Linked DNA regions of Astyanax mexicanus. The protein of the gene in region 2 interacts with the protein of the main gene of each other region in a pairwise test. Links are inferred from orthologs where the notes say so. Each region holds a gene or a part of one and is shown on either strand. Other genes may lie near its edges.

Region 1 (7,636 bases), on a different chromosome or scaffold from region 2:
CAACCCTGAGCTCTCGCTAACTGCCACACCGCATGAGGATCTGGGGCTGGGGGAATCTGGTGGGTCTTCATGATCATCATATTCTAGCTAGCTAAGATGCTAGGGTAACTCCATACCAAAAACATCATGGTTTGGGTGCCATGGTTTAAGCACCATCAACCAACAACTAAGCCTCTTAATCCCTCTTTCTTTCTTAACTTCCCTCTCTCTTTCTTTTCCTGGACAAAATGAAGATCTGGTAAAGTGGGGCATCTTTCTTGAGTATCTCATTGCCTCAAACATTTATAGCATTTCCATACAGTACAGGCCAAAAGTGTTTACCTCTCTCTCTTTCTTTCCTAGACAGAATGAAGATCTGGTCTTGGTGGTGAGTCATCATCATATTTAGTTTTATATATAAACAAAAAAAAATGGACACCCTTTTGGGATGCTATGCTTGGTTTGCCCAGTGGAGCTTGGTGTATAAAGTGGATGGGAGCCTCAAATTCATATATCCATATATCCATATATTCATATATCACTCATATATCCATGCAATACCAATTCCAAACATCCTGGTGGTGGGTCTTCATGATCATATTTGGTTATATGTAAAAATCCATGCAATTCCATACAGCTTACAGATAAGGCGGCTAATATAGCTTGGATGTCATGGTTTGAGAATCACCAATCAAGGACCAACCAACCAACACACCAACGAACCAAAAACTCTCTCCTTTTTTCTTTTCTTTGCTCTATCACTTTCTATCTCTTTTCTTCTGGTCAGATTGAAGATCTGGCATTTTGGAATACTATGTTTGGTTGGCGCAGTGAAGTGAGGCATTATTAGCATAGTGGATGGAGTGAATGAGTTAAGGAGGGCATCCTCTTTGGGTATCTCAAATCCTCATATATCCATGAAATAGCAACTTCATACATCATATATATTCGAAGACTGATTTAGCAAGCTAAGTAAGGGTAAGCAAGATAGCTACGGGTTTTATAACTCATGGCTTGGGTACCATGGTTTGAGGAGCACCAACCAACAACTAAAGCCTCTCTTATTCTCTCTTTTTTATTTTTCCTGGACAGAATGAGGATCTGGTCCTGGTGGTGGGTCTTTATGGTCATGTTTGGTTATATAAAAAAAGCTGGGCACCATTTTGGGATGCTATGCTTGCTATGCCCAATGGTGTGGAGCATTATTAGCATGGTGTATGGATGGAGTGCATGGGTGCCTCACATCCTTATAGATAGTATAGGCTAGGCTAATATGGCTAACTAGCTAGCTCGCTAGCAGGCTAGAAAGCAATACCCAAGAATGCTAACTAGTTAGGATGCTAGGGTAACTATGTGTTTCATAACACACCTTCCCTCCAGCCTACAGTACGTACCATGGCTTTGGATGCCATGGATTGAGGAGCCCCAAACTACCCAAGCACTAACCAATGATCCAGCCTCTCTCTCTTTCTTTCTCTCTCTTGCTTTCTTTCCCACCACCTCTCTCTCTTTCTCCTGGCCCGAATGGAGATCTGGACCTGGTGGTGGGTCTTCATGATCATATCTGGTTATACATAGAAAAGCTGGTCACATTAAAAGCCTGTCTGACACCATTTTGGGATGCTATTCTTGGTTTGCCCAATGGATTGTGGCATTATGTATCCCTTATATATCCATAAAATAGCAATTCCATACATCCTGTAGATTAGCTAGTCGCACAAGTTTATAGCTAAACAATGATAAGCAATAATGATGCTAGCTAGCTAAGATGCTACTGTAGCTATATATGTGTTTCATAACTCACCTTGCCTCCATGCCTACTGTACCTACCATGGCTTTGGATGCCATGGATTGAGGAGCACCAACCAACCACCAAACACCAACCAACAAACCAGCATCTCTCTTTCTCTCTCTTGCTTTATTTCCCTCCATCTCTCTCTCTTTCTCCTGTATAGAATGAAGATCTAGACCTGGTGTTGGTTCTTTATGATCATTTTAGGTTATATATAGAAAAGCTGGTCACATTCAAAGCCTGTCCGACACCATTTTGGGATGCTATTCTTGGTTTGCCCAATGGATTGTGGCATTATGTATCCCTTATATATCCATAAAATAGCAATTCCATACATCCTGTAGATTAGCTAGTCGCACAAGTTTATAGCTAAACAATGATAAGCAATAATGATGCTAGCTAGCTAAGATGCTACTGTAGCTATATATGTGTTTCATAACTCACCTTGCCTTCATGCCTACTGTACCTACCATGGCTTTGGATGCCATGGATTGAGGAGCACCAACCAACCACCAAACACCAACCAACAAACCAGCATCTCTCTTTCTCTCTCTTGCTTTATTTCCCTCCATCTCTCTCTCTTTCTCCTGTATAGAATGAAGATCTGGACCTGGTGTTGGTTCTTTATGATCATTTTAGGTTATATATAGAAAAGCTGGTCACATTCAAAGCCTGTCCGACACCATTTTGGGATGCTATTCTTGGTTTGCCCAATGGAGTGTGGCATTATGTATCCCTTATATATCCATAAAATAGCAATTCCATACATCCTGTAGATTAGCTAGTCGCACAAGTTTATAGCTAAACAATGATAAGCAATAATGATGCTAGCTAGCTAAGATGCTACTGTAGCTATATATGTGTTTCATAACTCACCTTGCCTCCATGCCTACTGTACCTACCATGGCTTTGGATGCCATGGATTGAGGAGCACCAACCAACCACCAAGCACCAACCAACAAACCAGCCTCTCTCTTTCTCTCTTTCTCCTGGATGGACAGCTGGAAAGGGAGGGTTCATGCAAAGAAAGAAAGCTGGAAAAAGTGAAAACAGCAGCGTGGAGGTTAAAACTCACCAGTTTGGGCAGATCCTGGGTGTTTAGATGCCTCTGGTTTCTTTGTAGCTCCGGGTCTGAAGGCTTTATGTAGCTGTAGATCCGGCAGTCTGACTGCTGCTGCTGCTGCTGCTCTTTCCTTTTTTACGCAGGCAGGATGAAAATACAAGAGAGAGAGAGAGAGAGAGAGAGAGAGAGAGAGAGAGAGAGAGAGAGAGAGAGGGAGAGAGTGGGGGATGGGGCAGATACCGAGGGGTGGGAGGGTGCTAGGGGGGCACAAAAGAAGGAAAGAGAGAGAGAGAGAGGGAGGGAGGGAGGGAGGAGGAGGAGTGAGTGAATGTATGCGTATTTGACGCACCGCAACACCAGTAGCTCCAAAAAAAACAGAGCCAGCAGCGTCCAATCAGGAGCGAGGGGCGGGACTCACACTGCAGGGGTCTTAAAGGACTACAAATCCCAGAATGCTGCAAAGCCTGGCTGAGCGTTTACTGAGATTTATTTCCAACTCTAATCGCTAGGAGGCGCTATAATTTATATTTTAGGACATATTTTCTTTGATCAACAGACGCACTCTAGCGGTTGAAGGGTGGAAATACATATTTAAATAATAAATGTTTAAGTCATATTAAAATGCAAATGGTTTCATTATTTAATCAGTCAATCAATCAATTAATCAATTAATGAATCAATCATTCAACATTTATTTTAGCTCGGGAGTACATTGAGCACCTTCATTCGCAATTATAGTATAAAACTGATTTAAAATATTACATAAGAAAAAAAGAATAAAATAAAGGAAAAAAATAAATAAATATATTTAATATAGATTAATAAAAATATATACATATAAAAAAGAGTGAAATATAAAAAACACTTAAAAATGAACTCACAAAAATTTAAGAATTCATAAAATTAAGATAAAATACAGAACAAATAAAAATAGTAAAAAGTAAATGATGAAATAAACTAAGAAGAGTAATTTATTTTAACTCAGGAGTACATTAGTACATTGAGGGTGACCCTCATTTACAATTACAATATAAAACTGATTTAAAACATTAGATAAGAAATTAGAAATAATAAAAAAAATTCTAAATATAATAAATACACAGTTTGAATAAATATATTTATTCTAGATAAATTAAATGTATAAACATATAATATACAAGAGGGTAACCTAAATAAAATGACCCCTAAAAAAAAAAGAAAACAAAAAAGTAAAGAAATTATAAAATTTAAAATAAAGAAAAAAAAAATAATAATAGCAAAAAAGTAAATGATAAAATCAAATGATAAGAGTTAGAAAAGAGAAACAGCAAATAAACAATAGTGAACTTAGATCCTAAGAAAATAAATAAATAAATAAATAAATAAATAGAAAGAATAATAAAAAATTGAAATGATAAGAAAAAGAATAAACCCAGTTAAACTAGTTAAAATAGTTACAGGCTTTCTGATGGTGATTAGACATTTAAAGAATAAACAATAAAAAATAAAAAAATATAATAATATTAATTTACCAGTACCAGATGCAGCAAAACAACCTCCAACATATTTTACTGTATTTACTATTTTTCTTTTCATGCCATATTTGGCCTATTTCCATATATTTTGATAGACAGTTCACACTGACACTGATGCACCCTGAGCCTGCAGGACAGCTAGAATTTCTTTTGAACTAGATTGTGGCTGATTATGCCCTATTTACACAATGCTGTATTGCTATGTTTTACAATTGTTGTTCATTTTTTGAGAAAATATGTACAAAAGTGGCAAAATGTTCGACCATGACTGTAGTATAATAATCCTTTATTATCGTAAGAAGTCAGGAAAAAAGATCAAAAATATAAATCTAAAAAACTGTCATATTCAAAGAAAATGTTTGAGAAAGATCAGATGTACTGCTTTAAATGTCCACACCTTTAAAAGAGTGTATAGTATACATATTATTATTATTATTATTATTATTATTATTATTATTATTATTATTATTATTATTAATATTTTTATTATTAATAATATTATTATTATTATTATTATTATTATTATTATTATTATTATTATTATTATTATTATTATTATTATTTTATTAGACAACTTAGGAATACAAGACTGCTAATTTTTGTACTGGCTGGACCGGATGTAAAATGCATACAGATACATTTACGTGAGCTGATGACCCTGGACCCTCTAATGTTCAACAACATATATTTGCAACCATTGCTATAATTAAAAGAGACATTAGAATGTCTATCATAAAGGAGTTTCTTTCTCACTTTCCTTCAGAACAGAACTTTCTGGGGCTGCAGTTTGATATAGGAAGCACTGCACCACCATCTAGTGGGTAAAACCCTCAAACACACACTGTGTCCGTATAAAAGCATGGTTTATAAGCTTAAAAAACAATAACTTGATTAAATGTAGTAAAGAAAAATGTCCAGAAGCAGGAAAGTGTCTGATACAATCAGGTTAAATATAACAGACTGCACTGTACAGTAATCTTTAATAATATATTTTATGGTTCAGATAGTGTCTGTAATGATAGGTGTGTAACAGTGTATCAGGAACTGCATATTTGTATCAGTGTGTCTGTAACAGTGTGTCTGTAATTCAAATCAGTTTAATTCACTTATATAACACTTTTTTACAACAGAAGTAGTCACAAAGCAGTTTTACAGAGAAAAAAATGTGGATAAAAATGTGGATAACATGTGGATAAAAAATGGGCACAAAACGGATAATGGAGAGCTATATCTAATGTAGAAACGTCTTCTGAGTGTGAGTAGCATATACAGTTGCAAGAAAAGTATGTGAACTCTTTGGGATTATACTTGGATTTCTGCATAAATTGTTCATTAAAAGTCACAACAATAGACAAACACAGTCTGCTTAAACTAATACCACACTAAATATATGTATATATATATTTATGTTTGCATGGTTTTATTGAACACAACATGTTAACATTCACAGTGAGGGGAAAGTATGTGAATCTTTGGATTTAATAACTGGTTGATCCTCATTTAGCAGCAAAAACCTCAACCAATCATTTCCTGTAGCTGCAGATCAGACCTGCAGAACAGTCAGAAGGAATTTTGGATCATTCCTCTTCAATAAACTGTTTCAGGATATCTGGTGTGAATCTCTCTCTTGAGGTCATGATGCCACAGAGCATCTCAGTTGGGTTCAGGAGGTCAGGACTCTCCAGAAGGCTCAGTATTTTCTTCTGTTGAAGTCGTTCGGTTGTTGATTTACTTCTATGTTTTGGGTCGTTGTCCTGTTGCATCATCCATCCTCTGTTGAGCTTCAGTTGAGGAACAGATGGTCTTAAGTTTTCCTGCAAAATGTCTTGGTTAACTTGGGAATTAATTTTTCCATTGATGACGGCAATCCGTCCAGACCCTGAGGCAGCAAAGCAGCCCCAAACCATGATGCTCCCTCCACCATGTTTCACAGTTGGATGAGGTTTTGATGATGGTGTGCTGTGCCTTTTTTTTTCACACATAGCGTTTTGTGTTCCTTCCAAACAACTCAATTTTGGTTTCATCTGTCCACAGTATATTTAGCCAGTAGTAATGTGGAACATCCAGGTGCTCTTTTGCAAACTTCAAATGTGCAGCAATGTTTTTTTGGACAGCAGTGGCTTCCTCCGTAGTGTCCTCCCATGAACTCAATTCTTGTTTAATGTTTCCTTATTGTACGTAGATTGTAACATGTGCCAGAGATTTCTGTAAGTCTTCAGCTGACACTCTAGGATTCTTCCTCACCTCATTGATCATTCTGCGCTGTGCTCTTGCAATCATCTTTACAGGACTTTACCACGCCTAAGGAAAGTAGCAACAGTGCTGAACTTTTGTAGAGCGTCTGTATTACCGTGGACACGTGAACATCAAGGCTTTTAGAGATACTTTTGTTACCCTTTCCAGCTTCATGCAAGTCAACAACTCTTGAACGTAGGTCTTCTAAGAGCTCAAGCAATGCTTCTTAAGAACAACAAACTCTAAACTGGTGTTTGTGTTTTTTAATCCTGGCTCCAATTAGCTTTTAGAAAAGTCATTAGCCTAGAGGTTCACATACTTTTTCCACCCTCACTGTGAATGTTAACATGTTGTATTCAATAAAGCCATGCAAACATATAATTTTTTTGTGTGGTATTAGTTTAAGCAGACTGTGTTTGTCTATTGTTGTGACTTAGATGAAGATCAGAACACATTTAATGACCAACTTATGCAGAAATCCAAGTAATTCCCAAAGATTTCACACACTTTTTCTTGCAGTACCACAGATGTGCCAGTAGAGGGAAACCTGGCTCCACATTGGCGAGAAAGCAGCAGAGCGTGAGGAATGACTCTGAGTGATGCTCGGACACTAAAAGCGATAATATATAAAGAGAGCATATTGAATTATCATTAGCCTGACTGCTAATGCACTACGCTTGGCTACAGTTGTGGCCTATAAGAGTTTATGAAGCTTCTCTATCTCTTTCTCTCTCTCTCTCTCTCTCTCTCTCTCTTTCTCTCTCTCTCTCTCTCTTTATTTCTCTCCCTCTCTCTCTCTCATGTTTGATCTTCCGTGTTCAATCAAATTACGCTGGCGTACGTGAGTCGGTGTCACTGTTTAATCAGTAATGTACATCAGCAGCTGTCTGCATGGCACCTGTTTCGATCCTGATGCTAATAGCTTCTGCCGCGGCGTGCAGCATTAAAGCTACACCAGCCTCACCTCGCCTTCATTTATCACACATTTATGAGCGTGCTCTCGCGCGCCCGCTCTCGCGCCGGCGTTCCCCGCGAGTGTGTGTAATGATCTGT
Region 2 (7,358 bases):
AGAATATGCAATGTTTTGTGCACTGTCAAATTACTTTTAAACTATATCTGTTTTTTACTTTTTTTGCAGTTTGAAACAGATGAAAATCACATCATTCTCATTTTAAATGAGATACACTTTGATACACAGATTGCAGATTTTTAATATTGCAATATATATTGCAGAACAACAAAATATCACAATGTAAAGATCTTCCAATATTGTGCTGCCCTTTAGTCTCAATCGACTAGAAGTTGTCCAAGAATGGACAACCAGTAAGCTGACAACAGGGTTATGGACACCTAAGACTCACTGATGTGTCCCATGGAGGCCTCACTCCAAAACTTACATGACTTATCTGTAAGCATCTGCTGCTAATGTATGTCTTGGCGCCAGATATCATGGGACTCTGCCTTAAATGGTGGTGCTAATATTATGCAGCTGATCAGTGTATAAATCCGGCAGACTCTTAGCATTTACATTACATCAACCTTCTAAACTTCCAATAGAAGTCAATGTCAAAATATTTAATTCCATTTTGGGGCATTTCCATTGGACAGTCCAACATAAAATGATGACACACTTTAAAAACTACAATGTTAAAACTACAGTTACACTATGCAATCATACTACAAAAACAGGAGTTTCACATGTATTATATATAAATATATACATGTAAAACCACATTAAACCACAAATAAAGGTGTCTTGTATTAAGTGTTAAGTGATGTTAGTAACTTACTAGTATCACAACACTGGTAACATAATACCACAACATCAGAGGAATCAGGTGATGTTTTAGGTTGCATTAATGATGATGGTGAATTTAAGCATCGTTCACACTGAAGCATGTCTCACCAACTTTACACTGCTTTGTTTAATTAGGTGTTCATGCATTTGACTTAATCATAATTGGTCATTAAAAATGTCAATATAGTTTCACTCTATAATGTCTTACAATTTTAATAATGTTTAGATTGATTTGTTTAACATAATAGTGTATACACTAACTACACTGAAACTACATTTACAAAAAGGCAACTTACTGTTTATGTAGTTTTTGACCATTTTATATAATGGGCTATTAAATCAATCCTCAGCTCTGAATCACAAAAAAATAAAGTGTACAGTAAAACTATAAACAGTTGCTTTCAACAGCAATTTAAATACACTATTAGAGACAGACACATTTATAGTAAAGTTAAATTACTTATTTTTAGAATCATCTTGCAAACGAATTGCAAACAAAAGTAAAAACATATCTTATATAGTATTGTAAACACTAACAAACTTACTGAAAAGATAAAAGTACTGTTTATATAGTTTTTTTTTTATTCATTTTTAAAAAAATGAATTGCAATTGCAGTACACTGTCTGAGCCTGAATACTAGGCCTGTCATTATAAAAAAAAAGTTGTAGATTATGTTTTGTCCAAGAAATAACTGTGATTGAATACTGACATTATTTTCATTTTGGGAACGGTTTAATGCCAATTATAAAATGCTAATACTTCAGGATAATAATGCATTACTCATTACTTTACTCAAAGCAAAATACTTTGAATTATTAAGAGTATTTAGACATTGAAACTGGAACTGACTATTTTGAGGTAATGTGTATAAATTAGAAAAAAAAAACGTACAATAATGTAATTATTGTAACAGTAACAGATTAAAAAAAAAAAAGCAAAACAAAAGCTTAAGAAACAATATTGTGTAATATTCTCTTTAATGGAAGGAAGTGAAGTCAAACATTTTTGGACATGTTTAGTTACTTTCTACAAAAATAAGAGCATGGAATAAATATGTTTAATTATTATTTACATTATTTACACAATGGAACTGGAACTTAAAATATGCTATATTTAATATCCTAAACAATTTTAACATGATGTCTTGTCAATTAAACACTAATAATACTCTAATATAGAGGTCAGCAGGTAATGTATATAACATGTATATAAGTTGATAATGTAATTATTGCATCCTATTTTAACAGTATCAGGGTAGAAACTACTAAAAATAGCAAAACAACTTAAACAATACTGTGTAAAATTCTCTTTGAAGGAAGCATTCAAAGTGAATTCAAACATTTTAGAAGTGTTTAGTTACTTTCTATAAAAAGAAAGTGCATGGGATAAAAAAGCAGTTTATTAGTAAAGATTGAAATATTTCTAATCAACAAAGTCGATTATGCTGACTAATCGACTAATTGGTGAGTGGCTGAGCAGCTTTTAACTCTAGTGTAGTGTAGTGTGAAGTGCAGTATACATACACTGACGATTATTAGTCAACATTGACTATATATTGTTATATATATTATACATATTGTTGATCTTGAAGTTGATTATTCTGTCGATTGTGCCGACTAATCGTAGCAGCACTACTCCCGTTCAGTTTTCACTCATTCTCTCTCTCTCTCTCTCTGCACACTCACCCATCCTTCCATCCACTCACCTGCTGTAAGTACATGAACGTCAAGGCACAGGAGAGCTGCGGACACACGTCCACCCGGGGCAGAGCGACGCACGGGCCGCCCGCGAGGGGATGCTGCATGGCTGGGCTGGAGGCTGAGGCAGCGCCGCCGGGCTGAGCGGGAACGGTGGAGGAGGCGGAGGCGGTGAGGCGCGCGTGTCTCGGCTCGCGGTCCGCGCTCGAGCGCCTGGCTTTGTCTTCAACGGTTGTTTTGCGGTTTGAAAAAGACGAAGCGGGTTTAACCGGGTTTTAAACCTCCGAATTACAGAAATATCACCTAAAACTACTGAAATTTACCTCAGAATGAACCTTTTATCTCTCTGTTTTTGGTTCCTAGGCTCGGAGCTGCAGCCTGCTCTCTTTAGTTCGCAGTTTCTGTCTGTTTTTCCACCGGTTCCGGTCCAAACGCGCTCAAACAAGCAGGTTATCCTCTTAAATACAGACTAACCCGCTTCCCGCTGACGGTAAGCGGTGAAAAGCTAGCGTCTCCGGGTGTTTAAAGCGAACTTTAGCAGCTGGGAGAAGCCTGTACACACACTGTATACAAACACACACTGAGCCTGACTGAGTCTAACCGCCGCTCCGCTAACGGCTCTCCCTCATCCGCGAGAGCGCCACTTTCGCGCGCGCGTATGTATGAAGCTCCGCGTGGAATGGAACGCTCGAGGCGGGCGGAGGCGGGACTTCGGCGAGAGATAGCCAATCAGAGATGCGCCATAAGGGCTGGGGGCGGAGTAATGCTCGCCGTGGGAGGGTTGTTTATTTATGTTTGAAGTGAATATTGTTGTTTTATTATATAAACTACGGACAACATTTCTCCAAAATTCCAAATAAAATGTTGTCATTTAGAGCATTTATTTACAGAAAATGGAAATGGCTGAAATAACAAAAAAAGCTTTTCTATGAGCTTTAAGACCTTGAATAATGCAAAGAAAACAAGTTTATATTCATTCTCCTCCACCAGTCTTACACACTGCTTTTGGATAACTTTATGCCACTCCTGGTGCACAAATTCAAGCAGTTCAGCTTGATTTGATGGATTGTGGTCATCCACCTTCCTCTTGATTATATTCCATAGGTTTTTCACTGGGTAAAATTAAAGAAACTCAAATTTTTTAAGTGGTCTTTTCTGACCTGAAGCTGTATTTATTTATTTATGTATTTATTTATTTATTCATTCATTTCAGCTGATTAATACTTTAAGGGCTCTGTCACTTTTATGCAAATACATCTTGATGATTAGTGTTAGCTTGTGCTAAATGGCAAAACACAAACAAGCTTGTTCACTTTTCGCTCCAACTCATCCGAACCATCTGGGTTGGGTTATTATGGCAGGTGTTTGGTTATTATTAATATTACACAGCTATTTTAGGCTGAGTATTTCTATTAGAGTGAATGAGTTAAGGGAAATGCAGTAAAAACAAATATTACAGCGGGATGTAGACTTGGACTTGGTTAAATGGTTGAGGGAAGAAGTTATGAACATTAACCAGGGAAAAGCCTTCTTTACTCTACTGTTTTTTTTTTTTTCATATTTTTCCTATATTACTCATTTAATACAATGATATATAAAGCCAGTTATTAACGCTGGTGTGTTAAACACTTTTCCAGCATAATACTAAAGAGATGCTTTGGCAATAAGCAAACATTAATGGGTAGATTACTGGAGGTTCACATAATCTCCCAAACCTCAGGGTATGCCAAGGTGTTCTTGTGAAGCATATCTACAAAAAGTGCTCCAGGAAAGAACAACTGGTGAACCGCGAGTAGGGTCAAGGGCTCCCAAGGCTCACTGATAAGATCAGTGAAGGTCCCACCTCCCAACTCTAAGGACTTAAGGGATCTGCTGCTAACGTTCTTGGCTTTGGTACCAGAGGATACCACAGATTTCCTTCAGAGGTCTTGTGGAGTTGATGCCTTTACAGGTCAGAGCTCTTTAAAAGCGACAGTCAAGTTTTGTGGATTTAGAGAATAAATTAGTTAGAACAGTTGGTCCTCTTTCTACTCAGCAGCACTAATACTTTTAGCTTAAAAGAAAAACACATAGAACTGCTGCTTTAAGTGGCACAAGGGGGACAGGTGGTTTTTTATACTCGAGATGATTGGTTTATGGTGTACAATATAAAAAGTAAGTGCAGTGTTCCAGTGCTTTGTGATTTTTAAAATATTCTAACACACAAAAAAGAGTTCCACTATTTTTACATGCCAAAGAACTCTGTTTCAGTACTATATAGAACCGAAGCTTACAGTGTGTCCATCTGTCAGCCTTCAGGCAATGAGGGGACATGTTAAAAAACTCCTCATTTGTATTCAGCTGATGTATACTAGTGTAAATGAGTTGAAAAAAAAATAGGGAGCAAAACAGGATTATGGAGGTACAAATATAGTATTTCTAGCAGACACCTTGAATTAAAAATGGCTTTGTCATTCACAGCCCATGACATACATGTCCTGTATGACCTAACACACTGTCCCAGAATACCTGTCCTGAATCCATCCTGTAATCAGCATTAGAAAATGTCTCACATTTCTATCAAGGTGATTCTCAAGCATGTACTAACAAACATACACATTCATTAACCTCCTAGGACCTGGCGTCCACATGTGTGGACATCACATTTTGGGTTGTCTAGACCACAACACTAAATTTTGCTCTACAAGAGCCTGGTGTCCTCTTATGAGGACATTATACTGTCAGTAGATTTTAACACGTTGCAGTCTGGATTTTGTTCAGAAATTTAAATGAATATTTTGTTCTATCAAAATATAAACCTATGTAACCCATATTTTTTTTTTCTCAGAAACTACATCATGTAAAAAGATAATTCTTTGTTTTCCCATTAATCAGGAGCCAATTAGCCCAAACAGCAAAAAGAAATAAAAAATGCATGCAATGCAAGAGTACGGGTCTTAGGGGATTAAAGTGGGTGAGGGTTTTAGTAAGGGTTACATTTGATAAGCAAAGGCAGATAAACAAACAAAAAAAAACAAATAAAATAAGCGTTAAATTTATGTTAATTTAGCTGCTAGCCAACTGTATATCCTGCATCACTAGTTATGACTAGCACATGCCCCCTCTGATACATGTGAAGTCAGCCACCTTCTCCACACTTTCCAACTGCTGCATGACCGGGATTCGAACATGCAATCTCCCGATCATAGTAGCAGTGCTTAAGACTGCTAGACCACTGCATTTGACAATAATTGACTTGTGTCTAATAAGTGAACTAAATTGTTCTGCAGCTACAACAAACAAAAAAATTACAGTTTAAGAAATTTTCCTAAACTGCACCAAAACAAGGCGTCCACTGTTGTTACGAGCCTAATAACAATACTTACAATACTAAGTAAAAACCTCTTTTAAGGTCTTTTAATGTAGGAATGCAACTAACTCCATACTACTTTCATAAAGATTACTTTCACAGCACAATACCTGGATCCAATATACAGTAAGTGCTAGAATTCTTTCTTTCTGACAAGCTGAAGGCCCCATGCAAGAGTGTTCAACCTCTAATAATAAATAACTCCTTTAACTCCATTATTTAAGGGTAGGCACATCATTAATTAAATGTGAGAAGAGCCTCTTATTCGTAAAATGCCAGTCTGACCAGAGAAAAACGAGGCAGGTACTGAGGGGCCTGTGGAAAATAAAAATAAAAAACACTCTTTTTGCCTGCTCTATTCACAGCTTCCAAAACCCACCATTCACCTGAAGCAGGGTGGCACACGCAGCAGTAAATAATTCATTGCAGCAGCACGCGGTGGTTAGCATTCAGAGTCCAGAGCAGTTTGGAGTCAAATCAGGCAAAATTGCCTAAACCGACTCCTATAACACACAACAACACCTTGAAGATCCATTAATAGTGATAAAAACATGTTGTATTAGGAGGGGAAAAAAAAAGGCTGATATTTGATTCAAGTGCGGATCCAAGGTCTAACCAACAACGGCAAACATGACATTACAGTTTGGTGGGGAAGAGAGTGTGAATTATTCATGTTCTCCTTCTTTAATCTTACTTATCTGTTTTTTTTCTCTCTACCCCCCCCCCCCCCTCCCCCCTTCCTCCCGCCCCCCAGCGCTACTACGCGAGTCGACATCGCGAACCGACGGCACTCGGGTAAGAAGGCTTCAGACGCTTGTTACTATAATAGAACAAAGTCATGAAAATCGATGGCGCTCCATGTTGCACAAGGGTGCGTAATTAAAAAAAAGAGAAAGGCCTTCTTCGGAGCTGGAGGAGGATGAACGCGTGCATTATAGAGAGGGCAGCAGAACGCTTTGCTCTATTTTACTCCTGCTTCTCCTCCCTTCTTCATGCCTTCAGGCAAGGATGCTTTATTTTTTTAAACTCTACCCCCCCCTTCCCTGACTACAGACACGTTTTGTCTTCCTCTCCGTCTCTCTTCCGGCCTGTCCTCTGCGCCTCCCGCTGCAAAAAATAGTCGCACCGGGCGCCGACCCGTGTTCGAGAATTGTCATCTGCGCCGGGCTTCACATGCCACGCCTTCCCTCGTCCCCTATACCCATGCTTCCCTCTGTATCCGCTGCTCCGGCCTCGCCACGTGATGGAGCACAGCTACCCTCTGCAGTGCTGGATCTGTTGTCTTCAGCTTTTGCTGAATAAGAGAGTAGCTGAGCTGCTGCGTTTCGCCCTGCTCGCTCCTCCAGCCTCGATCCGCTTCTGTACCTCAGAGGTTTTGCACCCATTAAAAATTTAACAGGCAGGCCAACTTAAAAACTTGACTTAAAGGGGTTCGAGTTAACTCAACTGTAAGTTTAGTCAAAAGCATTTTAGTCCTCCCCCTCCCTCAATTCATCCTGTATGTTATGACTTTTTGAGTTACTGCAGTTTAATTAGAGGTTCTACCTCCTAATTCACATGTAAGATACAGATTAACTTAGTC
Region 3 (7,078 bases), on a different chromosome or scaffold from region 2:
TCTTACAGTGTTAACCCCTCCATCCTCTTTCAACACCATTCCAAGACCATTCGTTCAGAGGGTGGGCTGGGGGTGTTTTTATTTATTTATTTATTTATAGTTAGTTAGTTCAGTCTTTGGTTTCCAGGTTTAAGGGGGGCACCTGTTTCAGGGCCTGAAGGAGAGCAGGAGAGTCCATAGGGGTCTGAGGGGCAGCCGGGGAGGCTACTCTCGGAGACATGACCAGTGACGAGGGCAGTTTTTCAGGAGACAGCCCAGCCGTGGAGCCCCCGATGCCCGGGTACAGCACAGGCATGCCCCCTGGGTACCAGCACTTCTCCAGCATGGGCAGGTAGGCGGCAGCAGCTGCCGCTGTGGGGGGGATGAGGTAGAAGGGCATGCAGAGCGGCGGCTGGTGGGGCGAGAAGCTCACGTACCCGCCGTGCGACTCGTGACCCGACAGAGACTCGTCCTCGGACGAATCCGACCTGACCCGCTTGGCCTGGGGCTCGTCTCGCTCCTCCTTGATGCTGCCGTACCGGCCGTGCTTCATCTCTGCGGCGTCTTTGCTGTAGTAGCTGATTCTCTGGCCTTTGGAGTCTCGTTTGTCCAGCTCGCCCCCGTAGCCGCTGTCTGTGTCTGTGTCGCTGCCGCTTTGTTCGCTGATCTGGGGGTTGTACGTTCTCTGAATGACCGGGACACAGTTTTTGGCGTGGCCCTCCGGCGAGCAGGGCTGGGGAGCAGCTGCCTTCTCCCTGGCCTCTTGACCCTTGCGACCAGGCGAGGGCGTGTCCAGGCGGGGGCTGGCTGGACGCTGCAGGAGCTCAGCAGCCACTTTGTGCAGGTGGTTGACAACGTGTGTTGGGGTCAGGTCCCGTGTGCTTTCCAAGCTGGCCAGATACTGGAGTACCTCCTTGGCACAGAGATGGAAACCGGAACGGAACATCTCTTCGCTGTTTTCTGAGCTGCCATTGCTCTGATCACCTGCAGAACAGATAGAAAAAAAGTAGAGCATGTGTTAATAATAAGTTGAGAGAAAGATTTCAGGATGCAGGTTGCATCAAAAACATTGGACTGATGTGAACTCATGCACAAGAGAGAACAAACACAAGTGACAGAAGTTCTGAGAACAGATCGCCGTGTTACTCAGAAAGCAGGAAAGCAGGAAAACGGCTTTACATGAAGTGTTTATTTTAACTTACCAATTTGCATTCCGCTCTGCAATGAAATGATCTGCTGCTGCTGCTGTTCCAGAAGGCCGTTGAGGGCTTTCACATGCTTTAACGTGAGCTCCAGCACCACGGCCTTCTCCAAATGGCCCAGCGTCTAAAAGAGGAAGCACTCAGATAAGCATGTTGATCTTTCTTATGTAACGCTCCCTCAGCTGCCTCGCCGAGGACAAACTCTCCGCCAGGCGAGAGCGACACTGAGACGCAGCGGGCATTGCAAAACATCTAACAAACCTAAAGCCTAAGCTTAGACTTGTTAAAAAACATTTCAAACTGTTTTAGTTCAGTTGAGATTCTACAAATTATATTTAAACTTTTTTTAAACTTCATGAGCATGCAAACTCAAAACTTGTGCTTGTGCATGCACCATCCTGTAAATGTATCACGGTCAAGCAAGTCAACCGCAATGAATAGCCAAGCGAATAGATAACAAATGAGTATACTAAACAGTCAAGTCAATAAATGCTTCGAATGCACGTCACAGCACAAAATAAAAGTGTGAAAAATAAGAAAACTCCTCCAGGTCAACCACCAGAGGACGCTTTAGAGCTCTGGTGCTCCACACACTCACTCCAATCCACTCCCACAGAGCTATACTTACAGTGAGTTTAAGGTGTTCAGGGAGCAAATCCTTCAGCTGAGCGATGCACTCGTTTATTCTGTCACGTCTCTTCTTTTCAATCAAGCGATGTGGCAGCTTGTACGTATCCTGTGGTGAACAAACAAGAGCATGTTCATTTTATAATGTTTAAATTAAAACTAGAATTAAAAGTTTACTAAACTACTATTCAAAACTTTAAAACATTTAAAAAACGATAAGCTCTAGCTGTGCAGCTTGCATGCGTGGGGCATGGACAGATAGATAAATAAATAAATAATCAATCAATTCATTCATTCATTAAATGCATATACAGGAACTTTTTTCTACAAGTGTAATGTTGTGAGCTGCACAAATGTATTAATATTTTATTTTGTTTAATTCCTTCAATTATAAATATTTCTGTATGTTTTAATGAATATTATTAACTAAATTAATAGCAGTGTACAATGTGTATAATATATATATATATATATATATATATATATATTCACCCATATATTTGATTGTTTTTTAAGTATTTACCTTGCTGTCGTCTCCTCGTTTCATGCCTCTCCGAGGTTTGTACACATACATTGGGAAATCCATTCTGAATAAGATTTGGAAAAGGGGAGAAATAATGAGAAAATAATAAAGAAAAAGTTAGTAAAATGACATTAAGTTGTATTTTTAGAAATATATGTTATAAGACTTGTTTTTCCCTATTTTAAAACAGATTAAAATGATTTAAGTTGCCTAGAAAGCCTGTGAGTCCAAATCCGTCCCGGGATTTCGCTCCAAGCTGCAGCAGAGCCGCCCAGGCAGTTGGAGCGAAATCCAGGGGCGAATTCCTACTCAGAGGACCTGAAATTGCCCCATTTCCAGCTACTTACCCCGGCATATCTGAAATATCCATAGAGGGGTGTTTGGTCATACACGGTGGAGGCTGTGCGCTTGTAATCCTTTCCATTTCGTCTCGTTTACGCGTAAAATAACGCAGGAAAAAACGATTTCTAACGAAAATGAAGCCGAAACAGCTTTTAAATGCTCATAAATTGCCAAAAACGAACTTGTTCTCAAAGAAATCCGCAGGGAAAGTGCATAACGTCCTTGCGTAAAGGTGGTTTGTCGTCAACTCAGACAGTTTTGAAGCTCCTCTCCTGTTAAATGTTTGTGTGAGAGTGTGTATGAAGGAGGAGTGTGTGTGTTGTATCTAGAGCTATATGTGTGTGGGAGGGTGAACTGGACTAGCTACGTGTTAAATAAAAAACCCTGTGACTACAGACACGTCTCTCTCTCTCTCTCTCTCTCTCTCTCTCTCTCTCTCTCTCTATCCCTCCCTCCCTCTCTCTCTCTCTCTCTCTCTCTCTAAACTGACCTACCTCCGTCACATGAGCCTCACGTGTTGGACGGCGCTGTTCCCCCCGCCAGTTCTCAGGACACTTCTTTTGTTATTCCCACCCGTTTTTCGGCACGCCCCGCCCCTAGCTTCTCCCGATTGGCCAGCGTAATCCCATTCAGTCCGTTCAGCCCGCCAATCGCAGATCAGCAGCGCGGAGAGGCACGGGTGGGCGGGGCTAAAGGATAGAGAAAAAAAGAAAACGTTCCAGAAGGTCCCCAGCCTGTGTCGCGTGTACCACCACGCGCTCTCTCGCTCGCTCGCTATCGCGCGCTCGCTCGCTCTCACACAGCGAGTCAAGCGCGCGCGAGCGCCGCTTACTACACAACAACAAGAACACGCACAAGAACACGCGCAGCGATTATTTCGTGTTTTTTTTGTATTTTGTTTTGCTACTTTAATCATGAACAGCAGAAAATAGATAGATGGAGACAGACAGACAAACGGAAGAATAAAAATAATAATAACAATTATAATATGCATATTTAGCATGATTTACAGCAAATAGTGGCTTACTTAGATAGACAGACACAGTTGGATTACAGATAAATACATAGACTGTTAGATAGACAGATTTTTTGTTTTTTTAATAATAAAAAATGTGTTTTTAGTTTATTATAATAGCAACAATAACAATAATATGCTTAGCATGATTTGCAGCATTATTTACAGCATATAGTGGTTACTTGGATAAACACAGTTTGATTATAGATAGATCGATAGATAGACAGACATAAATATTGTTATAATAAAATGTTTTAGTTAATAATAACTAACATTTAATAAAATGCTTAGAAGGATTTGCAGTATTATTTACAGCATGTAGTAACGTATGCAGACAGACTGACAGACAGTTGGATATAGATGGATGGATAGAAGTACAGACAGACGATTGGATGTCTCTCTCGCGCATGAGTCCACACGTGCTACTTACTACATAACAAGAACACAAACACGGATTATTTGGGGGGGTTGGGGGGGTTAATAAAAATGTGTTTTAGTTGGATTGTTTTTTAAATGATAGACAGACATGCAAAGTAATAATTCAATTGGTTCTTTTTTCATATTGCTTTACATCATTAGATACAGAACATAGCATATACTGGTTTATAACATGTTTAGCTTTAGATTAAATGGACATTTTTCTCATCTGAACCAGGATGCATTGATTTGGGCTGTGCATGAAAACTGATCCCCTGTCAGTGTCATGTAAAATGGGTGTTTAGGACTTAGTCAGTTTGAGGAGCAGCCCAGGGGTCAGATCAGTGTACCACGAGAGAAGGTGTAATAAGATGAAACCAGAGGTCAGACCACAAATTCTTTAAAACACACCACTCTCTAGCACTCTGTACACTCCTATTCTATTCTATTCTGTTCTATTCTATTGGCAGTAGTTCTCTATAAGAGCTAGACCAATTGTGTGCATTTGCACCGCTGTGTCAGCAATAGGTGCAACTTAAAATATGTTAATGCATTTATCAGAAGGGTTGTCAATTTGGAGTAGATAGACAGACGACAGACTTCCACAGACACTAAACAAGCTTTGTGTGTGCATTTGCACATCTGTGTCAGCAATGGATTAAGTGTAAGATTATCGATAGATATCAGAGCTCGCGCTGTGTGATTTAATAGGTGATCAGACTGGTGATTCATGCTGATGAGCGCAGGACCGAGGCTCGTGCAGGCTGTTGTTGTTGTCCAGGTCCAGCTCGTGCACTCACCGTATCACCGACACCGCTCTCGGGCACGTGCGGCACCACACTCTCTTTTCTGTGCCGCGCGCGCGCTCTCCCGCTCCGGTCACGTTGATCTGCTCATGGCGCGGACTGAAATCCCGCCGCTGACGTCACACAGCCAGAGCGCGCGCCCTTTTACTTATATCATTATTTATTATTAACCGGGTGGCGGCGGGACACGCGCGCGCCTGATCGAGTTTTTTTTGCGGGGGGGGTAAACAGCGGTCACGTGATGTTTATTTTCTGGGTGAAGCAAATTTATCAGCTTCTGATTGAAATGCCCGATTACATCTCACACACACACACACACACAAACACAGACACACACTCTCTCTCTCTTTCTCTCTGTTTACCTTTCTGTAAGATTAATGATTTAAAGTACAGCTTTTATTAAGTAAAGCTTTATTGTGAATGTAATAACAATAATATTATTTAAGAATCACAACAATTATTACAACAAAACAAATCAATTATTACAAAATAAGAGACATCAGTAGTTAATAAAATACCAATAATTAAAAATGATTATATTGATCCTCTTTATTTCTCTATATCTTTCTCCCTGTTTACCTTCTTTTTCTGTTTATCCTCTCTCTCTCTCTCTCTGTTAACCTCTCTCTACCAATTGACCTCTTCCTACCAATTTACCTCTCTCTTTCTCTCTCTCCCCCTCTCTCCCTCTCTCCCTCAGTTAACCTCTCTCCCTGTCTCTCGCTCTCAATTCAATTTTTAATATAATGTAGCTTTATTAGCATGACTATGAGTTAGTGTTGCCAAAGCATTATAACAATTAACAACATTGGTATGAACATACACAACAGACATAAAAATATTTATAACAAAATGAATCATGATTATGATAATTTCATTATTAATCAAGAATTATGATTATATAATAATCACTCTATCTATCTATCTATCTATCTATCTATCTATCTATCTATCTATCTATCTATCTATCTATCTATCTGTTAATCTTTTTCTCTCAATTTACCCCTTTATCTTGTGGGCTTCTGTGGTGGGCTTCTTAGTGACGTCATCACAGAGGGAGGGGCTGACTGGTCTGTAAACTCTTAAACCCGGCTGAGTGCAGTAATACAGTAATCTGAAAACAGGACATGATCTGAACCTTCCAGAGAAATAACCTTTACATTAACGCTTCTAAATGTTACATTAGCAAAACCTTGTATCTCATAACTTCAGTGTCTCAGAAGAACAATAACAACAGCCTTTTTATACTATATAACTGAACTGTGACATAATAGAAGGGTTTTTATTTTCCAATCTCATTCTAATGTCAGGTTATTATTAAATGAATGCCCTGTTTTAAATGCTTTCTCTCATTTTTATTTATTGTATTATAATGTTTGCTTCCAACCCACGTTTTCATCTCTCAATTGTCTTTATTAGATTAGTTTGTGATGATGTAAAAGTTTTATACAATGCCTTTTTTGTCTCATTCTCTGTCGATGATATTAACAGTCCAGGTTTTTTGCAAAAATTCTCCCATTCCTTGGATATAAATGGTTTTAACCCTTTCAGGCCTGAATTTTGTGCCATAATAATGCTGTTTTCTATCTGTAATGTACACAAAGGAAGACTTATTGTTTTTTGTGTATTGGATTGAAACATCACATGCTATCCCTAAACACTAAAACATTCATTAAAAAAGTGTTCTAAATCACTAAAATAATGAAAAATTAATTATTTTCCATTTGTCCCTTGGGCTCTAGTGCTGTTTTTTTCCCCCCAAGAGTGGGCGGGGCTAAACTATTGGCTATTTCATTGGCTTATAAACTTTTTCATTGGCTCATTTATACTCTATTCTGATTAACAACAGGTCACGATTAGTGTTCCGTGCAATAAAACATTTGAAAAAATAAGAAAATACATGATGTCCATTGTAATGGATGAAGAGTCTAAAAGGGTTAAGAGACCTCGTAAAGTTCCATACCCACTGTAACAGCTGCAGGGGGGCTGTAAGGTGATGCATAGGGGTATATATACGTTCTGAGGTGTTGTCTTGTGAGTAAGGCTGAACACTGGTCACTGTGCTCATGGCAAGGTCATGTGAATTGTAGTGAATTATTAGTGTGGCCTCAACACCAACGTCCGTTTAAATCCCACTCTTTAACAAAAAGAGCCAATCGGCTTGCTG

What was found. The genes of interacting proteins can lie anywhere in the genome.
Region 1: the proteins of rbfox1 (region 2) and fam168a interact in binary tests that used the Homo sapiens proteins (3 or more experiments, as listed by UniProt). The link is inferred for Astyanax mexicanus from reciprocal best matches to the Homo sapiens genes RBFOX1 and FAM168A.
Region 3: the proteins of rbfox1 (region 2) and bhlhe40 interact in binary tests that used the Homo sapiens proteins (3 or more experiments, as listed by UniProt). The link is inferred for Astyanax mexicanus from reciprocal best matches to the Homo sapiens genes RBFOX1 and BHLHE40.

The regions. Positions count from the first base shown.
Region 1 is NC_064416.1:5,958,294-5,965,929, forward strand, and holds the start of fam168a (protein FAM168A), read right to left. Parts: upstream 3,058-7,636; 5' UTR 2,847-3,057; intron 1-2,846.
Region 2 is NC_064426.1:5,886,186-5,893,543, forward strand, and holds the start of rbfox1 (RNA binding protein fox-1 homolog 1), read right to left. Parts: upstream 3,091-7,358; 5' UTR 2,535-3,090; coding exon 2,436-2,534; intron 1-2,435. UniProt on the Homo sapiens protein: RNA-binding protein that regulates alternative splicing events by binding to 5'-UGCAUGU-3' elements. Regulates alternative splicing of tissue-specific exons and of differentially spliced exons during erythropoiesis.
Region 3 is NC_064431.1:29,014,244-29,021,321, reverse strand, and holds the start of bhlhe40 (class E basic helix-loop-helix protein 40), read right to left. Parts: upstream 3,058-7,078; 5' UTR 2,756-3,057; coding exon 2,679-2,755; intron 2,396-2,678; coding exon 2,332-2,395; intron 1,918-2,331; coding exon 1,810-1,917; intron 1,306-1,809; coding exon 1,182-1,305; intron 964-1,181; coding exon 110-963; 3' UTR 1-109. UniProt on the Homo sapiens protein: Transcriptional repressor involved in the regulation of the circadian rhythm by negatively regulating the activity of the clock genes and clock-controlled genes.